2 linked regions of the Stegostoma tigrinum genome follow. The protein of the gene in region 1 interacts with the protein of each later gene in a pairwise test. Links are inferred from orthologs where the notes say so. Each region holds a gene or a part of one and is shown on either strand. Other genes may lie near its edges.

What was found. The genes of interacting proteins can lie anywhere in the genome.
Region 2: the proteins of dnaJ homolog subfamily A member 3, mitochondrial-like (region 1) and tcf19l interact in a two-hybrid assay, tested with the Homo sapiens proteins (2 studies listed by BioGRID and IntAct). The two-hybrid records come from large-scale screens. The link is inferred for Stegostoma tigrinum from reciprocal best matches to the Homo sapiens genes DNAJA3 and TCF19.

Annotation. Positions count from the first base shown.
Region 1 is NC_081376.1:32,395,449-32,405,853, reverse strand, and holds the start of dnaJ homolog subfamily A member 3, mitochondrial-like, read left to right. Parts: upstream 1-6,345; 5' UTR 6,346-6,364; coding exon 6,365-6,554; intron 6,555-6,918; coding exon 6,919-7,049; intron 7,050-7,672; coding exon 7,673-7,756; intron 7,757-8,185; coding exon 8,186-8,383; intron 8,384-10,294; coding exon 10,295-10,405. Other genes in the region: coro7 (coronin-7), read right to left, coding at 4,039-4,098. UniProt on the Homo sapiens protein: Modulates apoptotic signal transduction or effector structures within the mitochondrial matrix. Affect cytochrome C release from the mitochondria and caspase 3 activation, but not caspase 8 activation.
Region 2 is NC_081387.1:26,380,251-26,390,418, reverse strand, and holds the start of tcf19l (transcription factor 19), read right to left. Parts: upstream 3,684-10,168; 5' UTR 2,996-3,683; coding exon 2,701-2,995; intron 249-2,700; coding exon 1-248. Other genes in the region: cchcr1 (coiled-coil alpha-helical rod protein 1), read left to right, coding at 7,561-7,633, 9,284-9,503. UniProt on the Homo sapiens protein: Potential transcription factor that may play a role in the regulation of genes involved in cell cycle G1/S transition. May bind to regulatory elements of genes, including the promoter of the transcription factor FOXO1.

The sequences.
Region 1 (10,405 bases):
CCTACTTCTGCTTTAAAATTATTTGATGATCCCATCTATAACACCTTGAAGTAGACAGTTTCAAACTCTCCCATTCACAAAGCAGAAAAAAATTCTCAACTCCTAAAAGGGTGACCCCTAACTTTAAAACAGCCCTACTAGTTCTAGACCTACCCACAGGAGGAAAATCCATTCTACATCCACTTTGTCAGGATCTTAACTACTTAAATCAAGTCACACCTCAATCTTCCACCCACCACTAAAAATAAGCTCAGTCTGTCCAACCCATCCTTTAGCACAATCTGCTCATTAATCCAGTAAGCCATCTGTATTAAAGATAATAAAATGTGAGGCTGGATGAACACAGCAGGCCCAGCCGCATCTCAGGAGCACAAACCATCTGTATTACCCACATTGAATGCTACAGACCCTTTAGGTTTGTCTTTTTGTACCACTTCCACTATTTAGTTTAAAAGATCTCTCTACTTCCCTTGTTAAAATATTTGCTAGAGCATTAGTCAAGGCACTTTTTGGGTGTAGATCATTCTAACAGGATAGCCCATGTTTCTCAAGTACTGATGCCAGTATTCCATGAACTAGAACTCATTTTCCCCCCATTAACTTTCAAGTCAAAAATCACTAGTCTTGTTTCTTCTGCCAATGTGCATATGGTTCACATAGTAAAGAGATTACTATCTTTAAGTTGCTGCTCTCCAGTGTGGTGCCTGCTCCTCCTATCTGTCTAAGCAGAATCTCCTTCCTTGTACCCTGAACAAACATTCCAAATCTTGGCACCAGGTCGGCAACATAGTTTATTGGCCTCACGCTTTAGGCTACACAGAACAGTGTCTACTCTCTCTCACTATACTATCCCCAGCTAAAGCAAACAGGAAGAACAGTAAACCTGCGCAAACGCTAATGTTCTAACACTTAGCCCTCATTTACAGTATCAGTGCCCTTTCCCTATTCTAATGGTTGTGATCACGTCCTAGTACAAAATAGCAGTGTGACAATGTCCCTTCCTGATATTCGCAATATCTGTGATTCATCCTCCAGCACAAACAGAACAGAAGCCGTTCCAGCTATAAACTATGACTACAGATACGTCTGGGCTGGATCATTCTAGCATCCAGAAGCTCCCAAATGCTGCAGCCATAACACATTACCTGCCCTTCTATCCTTAATGTTTTCATTAACTAAATAATTTGTTCAAGTTTATTTTACATTCTTTATTGTTTTCATTCAGTCTGTGTACTGTTTAAAACCTTACGAATAGATTAGCTTTTAACGACTGGACTGATACCCAAACATTAGCACCCACCACCAATGGTGAGATTTTACACAATGAAGCCTAGCCCATCAGTGTTTTAAAATGCTAACCTTTAAGGCATTTTAACAAATAGAACAGGGATTAACACGAAGTCCAAACATGAAATCCTCAGTTAGCGCCCCCCCCCCCACCCCGAGCTTCTAAACACGCACAGAATGATTCCTCCAATAATAGGATAGTATTCAAAATACTTCAACTGATGCATGAAGGATCTTGTGAAGACTTTTGACCCTGCCTACACCCAGCATATAGATCATGATTGTCAACAAGGCGCTTGACAAGATGTACACTGCTTAGTAAGGTTAGATCACATGGAATCCAGGGAGAACTACCACTTGGATGCAAAATTGGCTTAAACGTAGGAGACAGAGGGTGGTGGGGGCAATGGACTGTAACCAGCGATAGGGTGCCGGAGGGTCAGTGCTCAGTCCACTGCTTTATGTCACTTATATAAATGATTTAGATGCAATTAGAGGAGGAATGGTTAGTAAATTTATAGATTACACCAAAATTGGTGGTGTAGTGAACAGTAAAGAAAGTTATCTCAGAAATTATTGGGGAGGCAATGGCCTAGCGGTATTATCACTGGACTGTTAATCTAGAGACCGAGGTAACATTCCAGGGATCTGGATTCAAATCCCACCGTGGCAGATGACGGAATTTGAATTCAATAAATATCTGGATGATGACCATTGCTGATTGTCAGAAAATCCCATCTGGTTCACTAATGCCATTTAGGGAAGGAAACTGGCATCCTTACCTGGTCTACCCTATGTGTGACCCCAGACCCACAGCATCAGGGTTAATTCTTAACTGCCCTCTGGGCAATTAGTGATGGGCAATAAGTGCTGCTCTGGCCAGTGATGCCTTCATCCCGTGAACGAATAAAGGAATACAACAGGACCTTGTTCAGATGGGCCAGGGAGTGGCAGATGGAGTTGAGTTTAGATAAATGTGAGGTGTTGCATTTTCAAAAGGCAAATCAGGACAGGACTTGTGTACTTAATGGGGAGTATTGCTGAACAAAAAGCCCTTTGGGTGCATGTTCATAGTTCCTTGAATATGGAGTTGTAGGTAGATAGGATAGTGAAGGCGGCATTTGGTACACTAGCCTTTATTGGCCAGTGCATGGAGGACAGGAGTTGAGAAGTCATGCTGTAGAGGTCTTGAATATAAAAGCAGGGATGTACTGCTGGGGCTTTGGAAGGCACTGGTCAGGCCACATTGGAGTATGGTGTGCGGTTTTGGGCCTCATATCTCGAGAAGGATGTACTGGCCCAGGAGCGGGTTCAGAGGAGGTTCACGAGAATGGTCACAGGAATGGAAAGCTTAAAATACGAGGAATGTTTGAGGACTCAGAGTATACTCATTGGAGTTTGGAAGGCTGGGGGCAATTAATTGAACTTTCAGAATACTTTATGGCCTGGACAAAGGGGATGTTGGGAAGATGCTTCCATTGATTGGACAGCCTAGGACCCAAGGGCACAACCTTAGAGTAAAAGGGAAGACCTATTAGAGCAGAGATAAGGAGAAACTACTTTAGCTAGAGATTGGTGAATCAATGGAATTCACTGCCAAAGCAGGCTGTGGAGGCCAGGTCATTGAGTACATTTAAGATTGAGATAGATACGTTCTTGATTATCAAGGGCTACGGGGAGAAACCAGTAGAATGGGGCTGAGGAACTTATCAGCCATGATTGAATGGCAGAACAGACTTGAAGGGCCGAACAGCCTAATTTCTGCTCCTCTGTCTTATGGTCTTATACAGGACATTAGTTAGGCCACTGTTGGAATACTGCACTCAATTCTGGTCTCCCTGCTGTAGGAAAAAAAGTGTTGTTAAACTTGAAAGGGTGCAGTAAAGATTACAAGGATGTTGCTGGGGTTGGAGAGCTTCAGTTGTAGGAAGAGGTTAAATAGGCTAAGGCTATTTTCCACGGAGTGTCAGAGACACATTTAAAAGGCATCTGGATGTGTACACGAATAGGAACGGTTTAAGAGAGACATGGGCCAAATGCTGGCAAATAAGTCTAGGTTAATTTTGGAAATCTGTTCAGCACCGATGAGTTGGACCAAAGGGCCTATTTTCGTGCTGTACGATTCTACGACCCGTTAGAGAGGGCAGCACTCAATCTTTTGGCTGAGACATTGAACCTGGATCCCTATCTGCCCTCTCACGTAGATATAAAGTACCCCCCTGCACATTCTTTTACATTCAAGCCAATACTGACTATACAAACAGCACCACAAAAATAGATGATCTAGAAAACTGGTCACTATCACGTTGTTGATTTAGACCTTGCGGTACATAAATTGGCTGTTCCGTTATTTGCTTTGCAACATTGACTACATTTCAGAAGTACCTGCCGAAAATGAGAAAGGCACTACAGAAAGGTAAGCGTGAGGAGGCTAGAATTCTCTTTGCTGCTGCTGCTGCTTCTTCTATGGCAACCTAGAACAGAATTTGTGTTAAAGCGTTCAGAGCTCGATCACTGCAACTTCCTCACAGGAAGCAACGGCTTCCGCAGCAATTGAACCTCAAGGGTGACAGGGCCAGGTCCCGGGGGAGCCCGTACCTGCAACACCCAGCGAGGGACACGGGCTGGAGGGAGGTGCGGAAGGAGCAATGGAACCCGAGGGCAGAGCACGGCCCCGAACAGCCCTATCCCAGAACAGTATCCTCCCTCTTACCCTCTAATGGGGTAATTGTTCCCTTCCCTGATACTCACCGCCCGGCCCGGAAGCCGCGGTGCCGTGTTCTTATACTTCGAGCTTCGGAAGCGGTTCATTGCTCCCGCTCTAACAGCGACTAGACAAACGATTGCTCCACCTGTCCGAATAGCCGGGAACGACTGGAACAGCCACACAGGGGAGGGGAGGGGTGGGACCGGGCCACGCCTTGCACATCCCCGCAGCCAGCGCGCCCGTCCACCAGACAATCAGAGGCACCGCCCACTGCTGCAATGTTAGATTGAAGAGGTAAATCTCCACAATCGTACAGCATCACTGTCTCACAAAACAAGAGTTACGACTGCCGGTGGGTTTAACATGATACTTCAGGCGAGGTGATAGCCTGAGGATGAGAATCCTTCGTGTTAACTTCTACCAGCGCAGAAACTGAACCCACACTGTCGGGATCACTGTGCATTACGGACCAGCTGTCCAGCCAAAATAGCACCTCCTCCACAGGAGAGAGTGACACGGCTCACAAGAGCAAGCCAGCAATTAGTGGAGTAAATGGGAATAGCCTGAGGTCAACGCTCATTCACAAACATTCACTTCTTCCTCCACCACCAATGTTCAGATGCAGCAGTGTCTACTAGCGACAAGATGCACTGCAGAAATTCACCACGAGTGAATAAAGAAAGTGCATAAAGTGGAGGATTCTTGAGACAATGGGTGGAACCTAGGAATTACATGGGGAAATTCTTAATAGGTAAGTGCCTATAGACATATGAATCTCTACAGTATGGAAAGAGGCCATTCAGCCTGTCAAGTTCTGCACTAACCTTCCAAAGAGCAGCCGACCCAATCCCCATAATCTACATTTACCAAGGCCAAGCCACCTAATCTGTAAATCTTTGGACTGTAGGAGGAAACGGCAGTACCTAGAGGATACTGACACAGACACAGGGAGAATGTGTAAACAAAACTTGTTGCCCAACTAGTTGCCAAAACTAGGATCAAACCCAGGCCCCAGACACAATGAGGCAGGAGTGCTAAACCACTGTGCCACCGTGTCATGCACAGATGGAGTGTGGGCCTCAATTGGTGGGAGCAAGAACAAAAGAACACTGCACAACTCATTTACAGGACAGTTTTAAATCTTGCCTGCAAACATCTGATATGTTGTGTCAACAATGATTTGTGTTTATATATCACCACTAAATGTAGTAAAATGTCTGATGAGTATTATTAGAGTGTTCTGAGGTATCTTAACAGTTACAATACTCACTTATTCAGTACTCCATTGGATTATGAGTTTAGATATCTGGAACAGGATTTGAACTTTCTAACTATGAAGTAAGATTGATACAATGGAGAAGTCTCTGCAAGTCCCCAGCTACTCGTTGTTCCTTGTAGAAGACTTTGCCGACCAGTAAAAGCCATGAAATCCATTGTCTAGGTGCTGTCAACTACAGGTCCTGTCAGCAAGACTTCATAGCAGCAAGTAGGTAAGCAAAACTATATTCACAATGAAATCTCTATAGAATGTATGGTATGATCACTCGCTTTACTGTTTGCAGTTTCCAAAATCCTTTGTTAGATTTTGGAGTAGCAATTTTTGCCTCATTCCATGCCAGAGAGCACCGAAGTTTCCACAAGCAGGAGCTCCTACTGATTAACAACTGCATCCTTGTAAGGTTTAAATCTGGAGCCTCCAGTACATTGGTAGTGCCTGTACCTTTGGGCTAGATACCAAATCCCACTTTCCCCAGTTATGTTTTTGAACAGGTTGATTGAAAGTAATTAATGTTTGAATCTGTGGGCCTTGCCTTAAGTTAAAAAGGAAGTCAGAACCCTCATTCCTCCCTGATGATAAAACGAGACAAAACAAAATTCGACTTGTATGAGTCAAAATAAGCTGAGGACAAATGCCAACAGAGCAAGACATAAAAAGGTACAGTATCTAAGTTAAATCAAGGAAACACACCAGCAGCTTTCTTTAAGGGAAATTGTTTAAATAATAAATACATGTACAAGAAATCAGCCTAAAGCTATCCACCTAAGTCTCTGAATAAGCACAGAATCAATGGTGCAAGAGGCTATTTCGCCCATCATGTTTGTACCGAGATAGTATCATTAAATCATTTTCACCGGGCTGGGAGGATAGACACCGTCTCAAATTAATGTCTCAGCAAAAAGATGACCTCTGTAGCAGTGCAGCAATACTTCCCTGGATGGGAGCATAGGCCTAACACATAACTGACGGTGGATGAACCTAACTCCAGGCTACGAGGCAACTAGGCTTGTTGCGCAGGCGCAATATGATTATGGGACGGTTGTGCGCATGTGCAGGACCGGAAAGGGTTGTTGGTCTGCGCAGGCGCTAAGATGGCGGCTGCACGGTGCTACCTTCGCTTGGTGTCGGTGACCTGGAACCCATTGGCTGGAGCCCGGCCTGGCACCGTGCGGATACTCGCCACTCGGGGTCTCCGTACTGCCTTTTGTCTGGGCCCTGGATTGTTATCGGCTGGTGGTCTGGGTCTCAGGTTCGGCCTGGAACTAAGATTGCGGCTGTCCGGTAAGGAAAGCGAGCAGGTTCGGCTGGCGTCGGCCTGGTAACTATTGCATGGCCTGTCTCGCCCCATGACAGAGAGGAAATTCAAGCGACCCCTGGAAGGGCAGTGTCAATGCTCCCCTCCACAATCAGGGCAGTGTCTGTACTCCCAGGCATTATCCCACTGGGGATAGATTGTCTGGTAAGGAAAGATTTGGACTTGCTTGCGATGAATCATGAGCATCAGATGTAGCTGTTGCCGTTAGTCAGAGGAGAAAACGATGTCACTTCTTGATGCAAGGACGAAAATGGTTTATAGTTTTTTTTTAAATGCGGGAGATTGTGGGTGTTTTTCCTAATTGTTCTTTTCCCTTTCATTTGCCTCAAGCTTGTTCACCAAATTCTCTAGGTGTTGCTGCATTTCATACAGCTTCTCCTTTAGCCAAAACTGATTATTATGAGGTGTTGGGGATCCCTCGCAACTCAACGCAAAGAGAGATAAAGAAAGCTTATTATCAGGTATGAGAAGCGAATGTCATTTAAACCAGACTTACAACTTAAGTTCCTGTATTTATACAAGTAATCAGTGGGAATTTTTTTTAATTGCACCAAGCCATCGACCAGAATAATTTTTCCAGCTCATCAAATTGAATTGTGTAATTGGAATCTTAGTCAAATTTAATTTACTTTAATGTCTTCCTCTCCCTCCTTGTCATGAAGGAGCTGAATTTGCTAGTCCACTTTCATGACATCAAGAGTTGCAAGTGGCCAATTTTAACTGATGAATCTGAATCTAGACAGTATCTACTGGGTCAAATTTGAATTCTCTCTTATAAATGAAGCCGCTTTTAAAATAATATGTCTGCGGTGGTGACTGTCTGGTGCAGATATGTCATGAAATTTGTCTGGGGTAGATAGGACTTGAACCTGAACCACTTCGGCAGAGGGGCACTATCACTGCAACACTGTCTGGTGTATACTTTAAACAAAAACATGGAAAAGAATTACATTGGGAAATTTGTCTTAATCAAACCTATTTTAATAGTTGGAGTACTTATCCCAGCAAAGCCTACAGGGGAAAGATTGGTTTCAGTTATAACTACTTGTAGCTTTGAATAAATCTTGTGTTCTTGCATATACAGCTTGCAAAGAAATACCACCCAGATACAAACAAAGATGATCCAAAGGCAAAGGAGAAATTTTCCCAAGTGGCAGAAGCATATGAGGTAATGAATGTATTGCAATGAAAGCCCCTAACTGTATTGCACAAGCTGTCTAGTCCGGAAGGGAGTTTCTGGGCTCCGAGTTGGCTGATCATGTGGGGAGGTGGACAGCAGATGTCAGCACAGCCACAGCATTTCCACTTTTCGTGGAGGGAAGAGAGGGGTTGAGAATTGTGTGTGTAGCTGGGAGTTGTGGGTGAAGGAACCAGTGTTCTATTCATGTGCCACTACCAGCACAACTGAATAGTTAGGTAATCTCTAAAGAACAACACCACAGTATGAATATTCTAACTTGAGGTAAAAAACTGTGAAAATTGTGTGACAATCAGTGTCTATTCTCAAACAGTAATACAGGATTCCTAGGGATCGTTATTCCTGAGTTTATTTGTTAATTGGTTTCCAGCTCTGATCGATATTAATTGTGCATTACAGGTTCTGAGTGATGAAGTGAAGCGGAAACAGTATGACTCTTATGGGAGAGTTGGATTTGATGCAGGAGGGTCAAGGAGTCAGGAATACTGGCATTCAGGGCCTTCAGTGGATCCAGAGGAGCTTTTCAGACGCATCTTTGGGGAATTTACTGGTTCTGGATTCAGAGATTTTAACACTGTCTTTGACCAGCACCAGGAGGTGAGTAAGCTAACTATTTGGCTATCCAGAAACCAGTGATACTGAAGATGGACAGTTCCTTGCATAGAAATAGGATTAGGCTATTCCATTCATCACACCTGTCTCACCATTCAATATAATCGTGGCTGATCAAACGCTTCATTGCCCACAAAATCCCCAAGAGACTGTTTCTCGGCTTCGCTTAAGGAAAGAAGTAATAGGAGCAGCAGTGAACCATTTGGCTCTGTGAGCCTGCTCTGTCATTTAGTCATAACTAACATTGTGCTTGACCTGTCTTTTCCAGAAGTTTCCCATGTTCCTTGATTTCCTGAGAAATCAAACATCTGTCTGTCTCTGATCTGATCTGATCTGACATCAAACATCTGATCTGTCACATCTGCCAATGTGGTATACTGCATCCACTGTACCCAGTGTGGCTTCCTCTACATTGGGGAAACCAAGCGGAGGCTTGGAGACCGCTTTGCAGAACACCTCCGCTCAGTTCGCAACAAACTACTGCATCTCCCAGTCGCAAACCATTTCCACTCCCCCTCCCATTCTTTAGATGACATGTCCATCATGGGCCTCCTGCAGTGCCACAATGATGCCACCCGAAGGTTGCAGGAACAGCAACTCATATTCCGCCTGGGAACCCTGCAGCCTAATGGTATCAATATGGACTTCACCAGTTTCAAAATCTCCCCTTCCCCAACTGAATCCCTAAACCAGCCCAGTTCGTCCCCTCCCCCCACTGCACCACACAACCAGCCCAGCTCTTCCCCTCCACCCACTGCATCCCAAAACCAGTCCAACCTGTCTCTGCCTCCCTAACCTGTTCTTCCTCTCACCCATCCCTTCCTCCCACCCCAAGCCGCACCCCCAACTACCTACTAACCTCATCCCACCTCCTTGACCTGTCCGTCTTCCCTGGACTGACCTATCCCCTCCCTACCTCCCCACCTATACTCTCTCCACCTATCTTCTTTTCTCTCCATCTTCGGTCCACCTCCCCCTCTCTCCCTATTTATTCCAGAACCCTCACCCCATCCCCCTCTCTGATGAAGGCTCTAGGCCTGAAACGTCAGCTTTTGTGCTCCTGAGATGCTGCTTGGCCTGCTGTGTTCATCCAGCCTCACATTTTGTTGTCTTGGATTCTCCAGCATCTGCACTTCCCATTATATCTGTCTGTCTCTCTCAGCTTTAAATATTTCAGAACCATTTTGGATCTTCTGGGTTAATTTGCACTCTACACCATGTGCCTTCAGGTTACTGTACAAGGTCACTGAATAATTAACTCATCAGACAGCAGATCAAACTGATAACTGAATGCTTTCTTTTTTTGGTTACTTTTTTTAGCAAGTGGTATTTCAGCATCCAACAGTTGGCCATAAATAACCAAAGCATCCTGGGGCAATTCGAAGTGTTTTGATTGACCTTAGATCGCTATCGAGTGATCAAGCTTGTCTTACCCGTGCAGGAGCTGTTTATGATAATAGTATGGATTCAATATTTGAACACCACCTATTCCTTAAATATCCCTTAAAGCTATTACTGCTGCTTACCACTTACTCTTAAACATATTTGAAAATAACTTGTTGTCATTAGCCTAACAATATATCTCTCATGTATGTGGTTCGAATTTGTGATGACTTACATGTTAAATGGCAGCCTAGTAATGAGTTGAGCTTGGTTCATGATCCTGCTGTTAAACCATTTGACATTATCATGAGATTTAAAGCAAAAGGCATCAAACCAATACAAAACACACACATTATAGAGAAAATTTTGTTTCAATTGGAGTTTGGATGAGATTTACACATTTTAAAATCAAGTTCAGGAATTGTCTTTGAGCTTTGGCTTTACACAGTAATGATGCTTAATATTGCTTCTTAGACACTATATGGGTATCTAATATTTGATATTCCTCTGCAGTATATCATGGAACTGACCTTTACACAGGCTGCAAAAGGTGTCAACAAGGAGATTACGGTGAATTTAGAGGACACATGCCAGAGATGTGATGGTAAGGGAAATGAACCAGGA
Region 2 (10,168 bases), on another chromosome or scaffold:
GGACAGGCAGACCGGCCGGAACCCGCCGGCTCGCTGCGCCCTGGGGGGGGAGGCGGCGGTGATGGCATCGAAGTCGGCCGGGCGCACACGGACCTTCTGGAAGAGGAAGTAAAACTCCGAGTCCTGCTGAGCGACCAGGGAGCCTTCCGGGATGTTCACCGCGTCCGGGTGGCCAAACGTGACAGTGTCTCCGTCGGAGAGCTCCGTCCTCTCGCCTTTGGCGATCCGAATGTCATTCACAAATGTGCCTGCAATAACACAGCCGTCAGCCTGAATCCTGCTTCCCTTCTGGTTCTCTTTTATTTTAAAACAAACCCCCTCCTTTTTAACAGCCATGCACGCACTGAAACACGGCCACCCAAGTCCCCGGGATTAGACTGGCCCCACACATGTCTCCCAAAAACCTTTCCAAGTATCAGAGATAATGGGAACTGCAGATGCTGGAGAATCCAAGATAATAAAATGTGAGGCTGGATGAACACAGCAGGACAAGCAGCATCTCAGGAGCACAAAAGCTGACGTTTCGGGCCTAGACCCTTCATCAGAGCCGAAACGTCAGCTTTTGTGCTCCTGAGATGCTGCTTGGCCTGCTGTGTTCATCCAGCCTCACATTTTATAACCTTTCCAAGTACCCCTGCATACCCGCACCTTCCTCTGGCACTTCCTTCCACCCCGCCAGCTGCTCGGGGTCTCTGTCGTGGGTGAACAGCTGTGTCTACTCGCTCCGCGTTAAAACAGAAAGTTGCCCCTCAGTGTCCTTTTGATTTGTTTATCAGACATAACATCCGGGAGTAAAAAGTTTTGTCTCTGTCTTTGCCCACCCTCCTTCGTATGAATAAAAACGAAAGGCAGGCCCGTCAGCTTGCGAGCATTCGACCAGGAAAAGGGGAGAACAGACAGGTCACAGTTGTATCAGAGATAGTAGGAACTGCAGACGCTGGAGAATCTGAGATAACAAGCTGTAGAGCTGGATGAACACAGCAGACCAAGCAGCATCAGAGGAGCAGGAAAGCTGACGTTTCAGGCCTGGACCCTTTATCACAGGTGAAGTAGCCTCCCTCAGGAGCCTCTCGCCTTCTGGGATTATTTTCTTGCCCGTCCTGCTTGGCCAGGACGCATCTGCCTTTCGATCAGAACTGCAGCGAGGTCACCCACAGCACCGTTTCTAGGGAAAACTGCAGGTCTGATCCCACATTCAAACAGCATCATGTCTCCTTCCGATGAGCCATCTGTCACAGGTAGGAGGGCACCAGGACAATTCGCTTCGTTTCCCATTTTCAAACCGACAACATCCAAAGTAGACGTCAGCCAGAACCCAGTGATCCCTTTGGCTGGGGAGCGATCTGCCAACTTCAGCCCCTCCACCGCGGACCCACAGCAACAGCAATGTGCACCGTCTACACGATGCACTGCAGTAACCCATCACGTTCAAACCCTACCACTGTAAAGGAGAAGGTCGCGGGATGTATTGGGACTGCAAACTCCCCTCCAAGCCAGACCCAGTCCAAATCTGTCACTATTAACTGCTACTGGCTGCAGTTTCTCCCCTGGCAGCTCTCCAAGATTGCTGCGGTTCAGGGCAGTAGCTAAACCACCACCTCCAGGGGTCCAAACCTAGCCAACCACACCATAACCTCTGAATAATTAAAGAAAAAAAAGGGAGCTACTTATATTCCACTCCCGCCAACAGAAACATGGCTACAGCTGTTCATCAATGACAGAGACCCTGAGCAGTTGGCAACCAAACGCACAACAGTATTTTACATTAAAACGGCTTCAGATTTCTGATGTTGCACACTAATTCCTCCTGCCACCCTCTAAACCACCCTTTGACCTCATACTGCCCCACAGCTCCAAGATAACAGCAAAATGTTACAGGTGCTGAAAAATTCAAACAAAAAACAGCGGAAGGAAACAGATAACAAGGTGTGGAGCTGGATGAACACAGCAGGCCAGGCAGCAGAGGAGCAGGAAAGCTGACATTTCGGGCCTAGATCCTTCTTCAGAAATGGGGTAGGGGAAGGGGTTCTGAAATAAATAGGGAGAGAGGGGGAGGCGGATAGAAGATGGATGGAGGAGAAGATAGGGGGAGAGCAGACAGACAAGTTAAAGGGGCGGAGATGGAGCCATTAAAGGTGAGTGTAGGTGGGGAGGTAGGGAGGGGATAGGTCAGTCCGGAGAGGACGGACAGGTCAAGGGGGCGGGATGAGGTTAGTAGGCAGGGGATGGGAAGGTGGGGCTTGAGGTGAGAGGAAGAACAGATTAGGGACGCAGGGATGAGCTGGGGGAAGGGGAGATTTTGAAGCTGGTGAAGTCCACATTGATACCATTGGGCTGCAGGGTTCCCAAGCGGAATATGAGTTGCTGTTCCTGCAACCTTCGGGTGGCATCAATGTTACACTGCAGGAGGACCACCATCAGAACTCAGCTAAGGCTATCCCACACCCCCACCTCTCCCATCCCCTATATCTCCATTGCCCTGTATCCCAACCCCTTAGCCCCCATTCCCCTGTATCCCACCCACTAAAACACCCATCCCACTGTATCCTACCCCCCTCACGCCATTTTCCCGTATCACCATTCCCCTTTATCCTCCCCAATCACCCTTATCCACATTCCCCATAACCTCCCCATTGTCCTCTAGTTCCATCGCCCCCCCCCCCCCCACCACCCACCACCACCCACCACCCAGGCCCTTACCATTGGTGCTCCTGTCGACGATGTGCACCCTCCAGTCGCCCCCGGCCGCCCCCCTCTCGGCCTGCAGCTCGGCGTGCACCCGGGAGATGAGATCCTCGGCCCGCCCCGAGCTCAGGCACAGGTCGGTGAGGTCGGCCCGGCGGCCGAGGCGGAAGGTGCAGCGCTGGCCGGCCGGCAGGAAAGTGTAGAGGTCGCGGGCGGGTGTCGGCGCCGTGGCCTGGCCGGGCCTCGGGCTGGGCTGCGGGGCGGTGCCGATGCGGAGCAGCTGCAGGCAGGGCTGCACCTCCGACAGCATCCTCGCTGGGTCGGTGTCGGGGGTATGCTAGGTCATCAAAACCTGCACTCCTGGGGGCTCGGCTCCGATTGTTAGGTCATCAAAACCTGCACTCCTGGGGGCTCGGCTCCGATTGTTAGGTCATCAAAACCTGCACTTCTGGGGGCTCGGCTCCGATTGTTAGGTCATCAAAACCTGCACTCCTGGGGGCTCGGATCCGATTGTTAGGTCATCAAAACCTGCACTCCTGGGGGCTCGGCTCCGATTGTTAGGTCATCAAAACCCGCACTCCTGGGGGCTCGGCTCCGATTGTTAGGTCATCAAAACCCGCACTCCTGGGGGCTCGGCTCCGATTGTTAGGTCATCAAAACCCGCACTCCTGGGGGCTAGGCTCCGATTGTTAGGTCACCAAATCCTGGAATCATGGCGGTTCGGCTCCGAATGTTTGGTCGCCAAGCTCCCGGGGGGTAGGATCCAGTTGCTAACTCATCAAATCCTGGGCTCTCGGGGGTAGGATCCAGTTGTTAGGTCATCGGAACTGAGGCCTGGCTTTCCACCTCGGACCGTTGCGGTGGACAGTTGGCGCCACTGTAGTTGTTGTTGTTGTCTCTCCGGTGTTCCTCAGTGCCACCGACCGGTTCGACGGCAGACCAGCTGTCTGTTGTCTATCCTCCCCGCCTCTCTCTCTCTTTCTAGGTCTATCCTTCTGTTTACAGGAAGCGCCTTTGAAAATTGGCGCGCTGGAACGGCGGCCCCAAGTATCGCGAGATGATCCCTGTCCTCCGCGGGGGTACCAGTTACTGTGCCTGCGTACTAGGAGGTGATGCCAATTGGCTGGCCGAGCTGCCATCTTTGATGCTGGCGCTCCGCCCTCCCTCCCTCCAGGGTGCCAGGCAGAGTTGTCAGATTGTGGTCTACGAGGAATAAAGGGCCGGTCAGGAAGATAATTACTGTCATGTATGTCATTGTGAGGGATATTCCCGTGATTTTACTGTTGGTAATCTTACTGTGGGTGATGTTCTAACTCGAAATGTAAACTGCTTTCTCTATCTTTTTGAACAGGCGCCACTTGAACTGCTCCCCTTTTTTTGAGGGTTTGCAGAAATTTGCTTTAGGAATCTCTTTTGTGACGTTGGGTTGAAGAGATGACCCAGAAGTTGCAGAAGGACACAAACTTGGGACAGCAGTCACTCTGGGTCTGCAAGAATATAAGTAGGGACAGACGTAAGCATTTCGGTCAACTCTGCCATTCAATGAGATCATTGCTGATCTAATAATCGCCATCCATTCCCTGTCTTGTTCCTATAACCCTTAATTCCTTCAATGTTTATCAATCTATCTCAGCCTGAAATGTAATTAGTAAGGCTTCCAGACCTCTGCGGTAAAAAATTCCACAGACTTACTCCCCTTGGAGAGAAGAAATTTCCACCTTATCGCTCTCCTGAGGGGTGACCCCTTACTCTGCATGTATGCCCTCTAACCCTGGACTCTAACAAGGGGAAACAATCTTTCCAAATCAAGCCCCCGAAGAATCTTATCTGTTTCAATAAGATCCCCTCTTATTCTTCTATGATCCAATGAATACAGACCCTAGCAAGTTTTGAGAAGATTTGTAGCTCAGGTTGAGGTTCTAGATGTGAGTTTGCTCGCTGAGCTGGAAGGTTCGTTTTCAGACGTTTCGTCACCATTCTAGGTAACATCATCAGTGAGCCTTAGGAAACAGATAAATAGAAAGCGGGACATAACACCAGCGCTTCACCGGACGCTCACTGATGATGTTACCTAGAATGGTGACGAAACGTCTGAAAACTAACCTTCCAGCTCAGTGAGCAAACTCACATCCAGAATACAGACCCTACCTACTCAACCTCTCCTCAAAGGACAGTTCCTCCATACCTGGGATCAGCCGAGTAAAACTTCATAGGGCTGACTCCAATATATTTTTCCTTAGGTAAGGGATAAGTGAACTGGTTTCAGTTAAGGAGGAAATGTGCTAATTGGAAAAGTTCAAACCAGTGCTCGTATCTAGATGCAACCCAAAACATTTACCGAACACAAATTTGATGGAAACATTCATTCAGGCACCTATGAAGTCAACATGCTCGAGGCATCCGCACTGTTTGGTGTCTGTTTGTGTGTGTGTGTGTGTGTGTGTGTGTGTGTGTGTCTGTGTATGTGTCTGAATCCAAAGACTGAGCAAACAAAGGATCAGACACTGAACTCTGCTGCTTACCAACCAATGTGCCCCAAACCCCCACCAGTCCTCCAGCCTATTCCAACAACCATTTTGAAACAGAGACAAATCCTCCCCCTCTCTGCTGAGTATCTTTGTAATATGAACTGTATTCCTGTATGACTCGGTTAATTCCCGTTGCTACTTGTTAACAGTGTTTTCGTCATCCATACAGTGTGGAGCTGGAGGAACACAGGAGGAGAGTCGGCACCAGAGAAGCAGGAAAGTCGACATTTCAGATCTGGACCCTTCATCAGGACTGGAGAGGGGGAAGGGAGCTCAGAAATAAATAGGAGGGGTGGGGCTTCTGAAGGTAGGTGGGACAATGTTTGGTGGGTGCAGGTTTGGGATGGTGGGGATTGGGCAGTTGGACAGGTGGGGCGGATAGATGGGAAAGAAGATGGACAGGTGGTGCCAGGTCAAGAAAGTGGGGATGAGTGGGAGGGTTAGACATGTGATGAGGCTGTGGGTGGAAGGCTGGATGTTTAGGCCATCAGGCTGTTGGCTCCCAAGGCGGAATATGAGGTGTTGCTCTTCCAGTTTGCGTGTGGCGTCATTGTGGCACTAGAGGAGGCCCAGGATGGACATGTCACCCAAGGGCGGGGGGGGGGGGGGTGGTTAAAGTGGTTCGACTGGAAGGTGCTGTTGATATTAGCGTGCAGAGTGCAGATGCTCCTCGAATCAGTCTCCAAGTGTACATTTGGTTTAATCTATGTGGAAGAGACCACATCAAGAACAATGGATACAGTAGACCAGGTGGAATGATATGCAGGTGAATCCCTGTCATACATGGAAAGTTTGTCTTGGGCCTTGGATGGAGGTGAAGGGTAGGTGCTGTGGCAGCACCGAGGTACAAAATTTCAGTTTGAATTCTGATGGAAGGTGATTAATCTGAACTGTGTTTCTTCACAGAAGCAAAGATAATAAAATGTGAGGCTGGATGAACACAGCAGGCCAAGCAGCATCTCAGGAGCACAAAAGCTGACGTTTCGGGCCTAGACCCTTCATCGGAGAGGGAACTGGAATAAATAGGGAGAGAGGGAGAGGCGGACCGAAGATGGAGAGTAAAGAAGATAGGTGGAGAGAGTGTAGGTGGGGAGGTAGGGAGGGGATAGGTCAGTCAGGGAAGATGGACAGGTCAAGGAGGTGGGATGAGGTTAGTAGGTAGATGGGGGTGCGGCTTGGGGTGGGAGGAAGGGATGGGTGAGAGGAAGAACCGGTTAGGGAGGCAGAGACAGGTTGGACTGGTTTTGGGATGCAGTGGGTGGAGGGGAAGAGCTGGGCTGGTTGTGTGGTGCAGTGGGGGGAGGGGACGAACTGGGCTGGATTAGGGATGCAGTAGGGGAAGGGGAGATTTTGAAACTGGTGAAGTCCACATTGATACCATTGGGCTGCAGGGTTCCCAGGCGGAATATGAGTTGCTGTTCCTGCAACCTTCGGGTGGCATCATTGTGGCACTGCAGGAGGCCCATGATGGACATGTCATCTAGAGAATGGGAGGGGGAGTGGAAATGGTTTGCGACTGGGAGGTGCAGTTGTTTGTTGCGAACTGAGCGGAGGTGTTCTGCAAAGCGGTCCCCAAGCCTCCGCTTGGTTTCCCCAATGTAGAGGAAGCCGCACCGGGTACAGTGGATGCAGTATACCACATTGGCAGATGTGCAGGTGAACCTCTGCTTAATGTGGAATGCTTCTTCACAGAAGCAACCTGATGCTGACTATATCCAGCTTGGTCCTTCCACTGCCCCAGAGATATGTTCATTACCATATTGTAACTGGTGGGAGAGTGCAAAAATATGCTGTTTGGGGATCCTACCAATTCTCTACTCCCTACTGCACAACGGAGAGTGTGTCTGAACAACAAACACAATGCATGTCATTGACTGTGAAAGAACTGTACAGAGGCCAGTATCCCGTCACCAAGTCGCCCTTTATTTACATGTGCACGGTTTACAGATTGTGATCAGCTAGTTTGGAGTCAGTCCATTACGTGAGGAGACTCTGTGTCTCCTGTTTATATCTGTCAGCCAGGGCTCCTTGAGTGGCCCTGCTTCACAGCCCCTATCAGGGATCTCATAGTCATTAGGATCCAACTAGTTCCAGTCACTACACTAGGAAAACCATACAGGGAACGCTTTTGATTTTGTTGTTGGCTGACTTTTTTTTTGTTCCCCGAGGCCGACGGCTGTGCCCTGGGGCACTTGGATGGGTGGAACGGATTTGTGGAGGTGGAGGGTAATCGGTTTCCGGCGGACGGGTGTTTCCGGGACACCACTGGGTGGCTGGAGGTGGCAGCAACCTGTTTCCGGCGGACGTGTGTTCCTGGGACACCGCGGTATTAACGGTCGGCCGCGCCATGTCTGAGAGGAGCCGGCGGCAGCTCGAGCAGGGAGCGGAGCCACCGATAACTTTCAGCGGCAGGCATCACGGTAAAAGGAAGCAAATATATATGCAAATTTTAAAAAAAGACACTGTTGAAAGATGCAAATGGGAACCCTAATCTCCGCATGGCACAGGAGTAAATCCCTGGGGGAGAGATCTATAGATCCCTGAGACCTGGGATAGTAGATCCATGAAATGTAGACATTGCTGCATATTCCAGGAATATTGAGGTGTCTGTGGATCCTAGGAAATGGGAAATTTCTATTGGCCCCTGAGATATAGAGAAAAACCTACAGATTACCAGGATGCAAGAACGATCTTTAGATCCCCGGGAAATGGGGATAAACCTGCAGATCTCTTGGAATTGGGGATAAACCTGCAGATCTTCGGGACGTTGGGATAAACCTATAGATTCCTGGGAAGTGCGGATAAATCTGTAGTTCTCTGGGTATGGGAACAACTGTACAGATCTTGGGGGAGTGGAGTTATCCATAACCCCAATATGTGAGAGACATCTCTGGATGCCTGGTGTATGGGAATAAATCTATAGATGCCTGGCAAATGGGGATACATTTATAGATCCCTGGGATATGGGATAAATCCATAGATTCCTAGATAAGAGTATAGTTCCCTGGAATACGGAGATGAATTAATAGGTCTGTTGATATTGGAGTGATCTGTAGACCCCCAAGAGTGAGGAGCAGCTATAGATTCTGGAGATTTGCAGATAAAATGTATCGTTCCCTGGGACACAAGTGGGTGAAAATCAGCTTCAGTATGATGCCTGGCTAAGAGGAAAACTTAGAGGGTTTAAATATAAACATTCAGAGTAGACATTTAGATATCTACAGTATTGACATGTTGGTAGATGTATAGATACCTGGGGTTACGAATGTATGGGACAACCCAGTTGATATCTGAGGTATAAGTATGTCGAACAGATATATAGATCTTTAGACACAGACTCGTGAGTTACTTTTGTTGATATACAAACAAGGGCCAAGAGTAGGCCAATCAGTCCTTCATACCTGCTCTGCTATTCAATAAGATTATGGCTGATTTAATTTTAATCTCAACTCAATATATCTGAGGTCTAAGTATGTTGAGTGGTCCTATAGATCTTTGAAATATGTGTATGATAGATATGTGTACACAGTTGAGAAATTCATGTATTGTACATACACATTTCTGGATGTGATGTACAAACACCCTGAACTCATACACAACAAAACATACCGTTGGAAATCAGACATGAATAATGCACTCTATTGCTTATAGATAACTAGATAAAAGAAAATTGGCAACTGAAAGTTCTTATGAATGTGTGGTTTGTAAGAACAAAGTTGTAGCACTGTCAGTTAGTAGGTTTTGAACCTTTCAATAGAAATTGTGGCAATAGTGATATTGGATTCCTAGGTTGACCATGATGTGCCAGATAGGACTGTGTGGACAAGTATGAAGAGAGGCTTGAAACATTAGGTCTGTCATTTTCATCTCTGAGATTTAGGTACCTTTCAAACAACAGGCCTCCAAACCTGAAAGAAGAAATATTAATATGTAGTTATTTGCATGTTCCAGCCAATAACTTCCTTTCCAGGAGGTTAATTAAGTCAGAACTGAGTGCAGGATTTAGAAATGTCAGCACTCCCACCTGTCTGTTGCTGGAACTATAAATGGAGCTTCTTCTTTATCTGCAGAAGCGGCAGACTTGATCCCTCCATCACACTTTGAGGCTCGGCGCCCTGGCTCACCAGCAGTGGACACAGACCCCTGGGCTGCTCTGTCAAAGGCTACCAAAGATATCTTGGAACTACGGCAAGAAAATGAACGCCTGCGGGAGCTTCAGAGGGCTTCAAACAGAGTCATGTTCAGAGGGCATGCAGGGGTTGAATCAGAAGAAGTCTGCGGCAGAGCTAGGTACTGTACATGCCTTTCTGAACAGGCTGATGGTTCTTTCCCATATAGCCAGATCTCTCAACATTTGTAAGAATGTCCTCTGTATATCTATCTGAGAGATCTTGTCCACATATCTGTATGAGCTCTACAGGATTCCCCTTTCTGTCTGTATCTCAAACATCTACAGGTCTGCCCCAAGTTTCTGTGCCTCGAGATCTGTACGTTTGCTTCGTATATCCATGCTTTAGAAATTTGTAGACATTTCCTATAAGACAGACAGTGCCCTTTCCCAGATATCTGTCACGTGTGTTCGGCCTTTTAGAGCAAGTGGACTGGGTAGATGGAAAGCAGCCTAAGAACATGTAAGAAGAATCCTTCCCCCAAGCACATGAGGCAAGATTGCCTGCTTCCTCCACTCCCCACATTTGTGTATATGAAAAAGAAAATCAAATCAAAATCTCCCTTGTCTGTGTGCTGCTTCTTTGTTGATCCTTGCTGTCCTTTTTCACAGCTCTCCTCTTCTTTTCGACACATTCTGCCCTGGCTCTCAAACTGAGAGTATGCCTCAACAGCATTCTACGTTGCCAATGAGAGCATGACATGTTTACTGTGCTTACATTGTAGCTGTATCAGCCAGCTATTTACTTTGACTATGATAATAAAATGTGAGGCTAGATGAACACAGC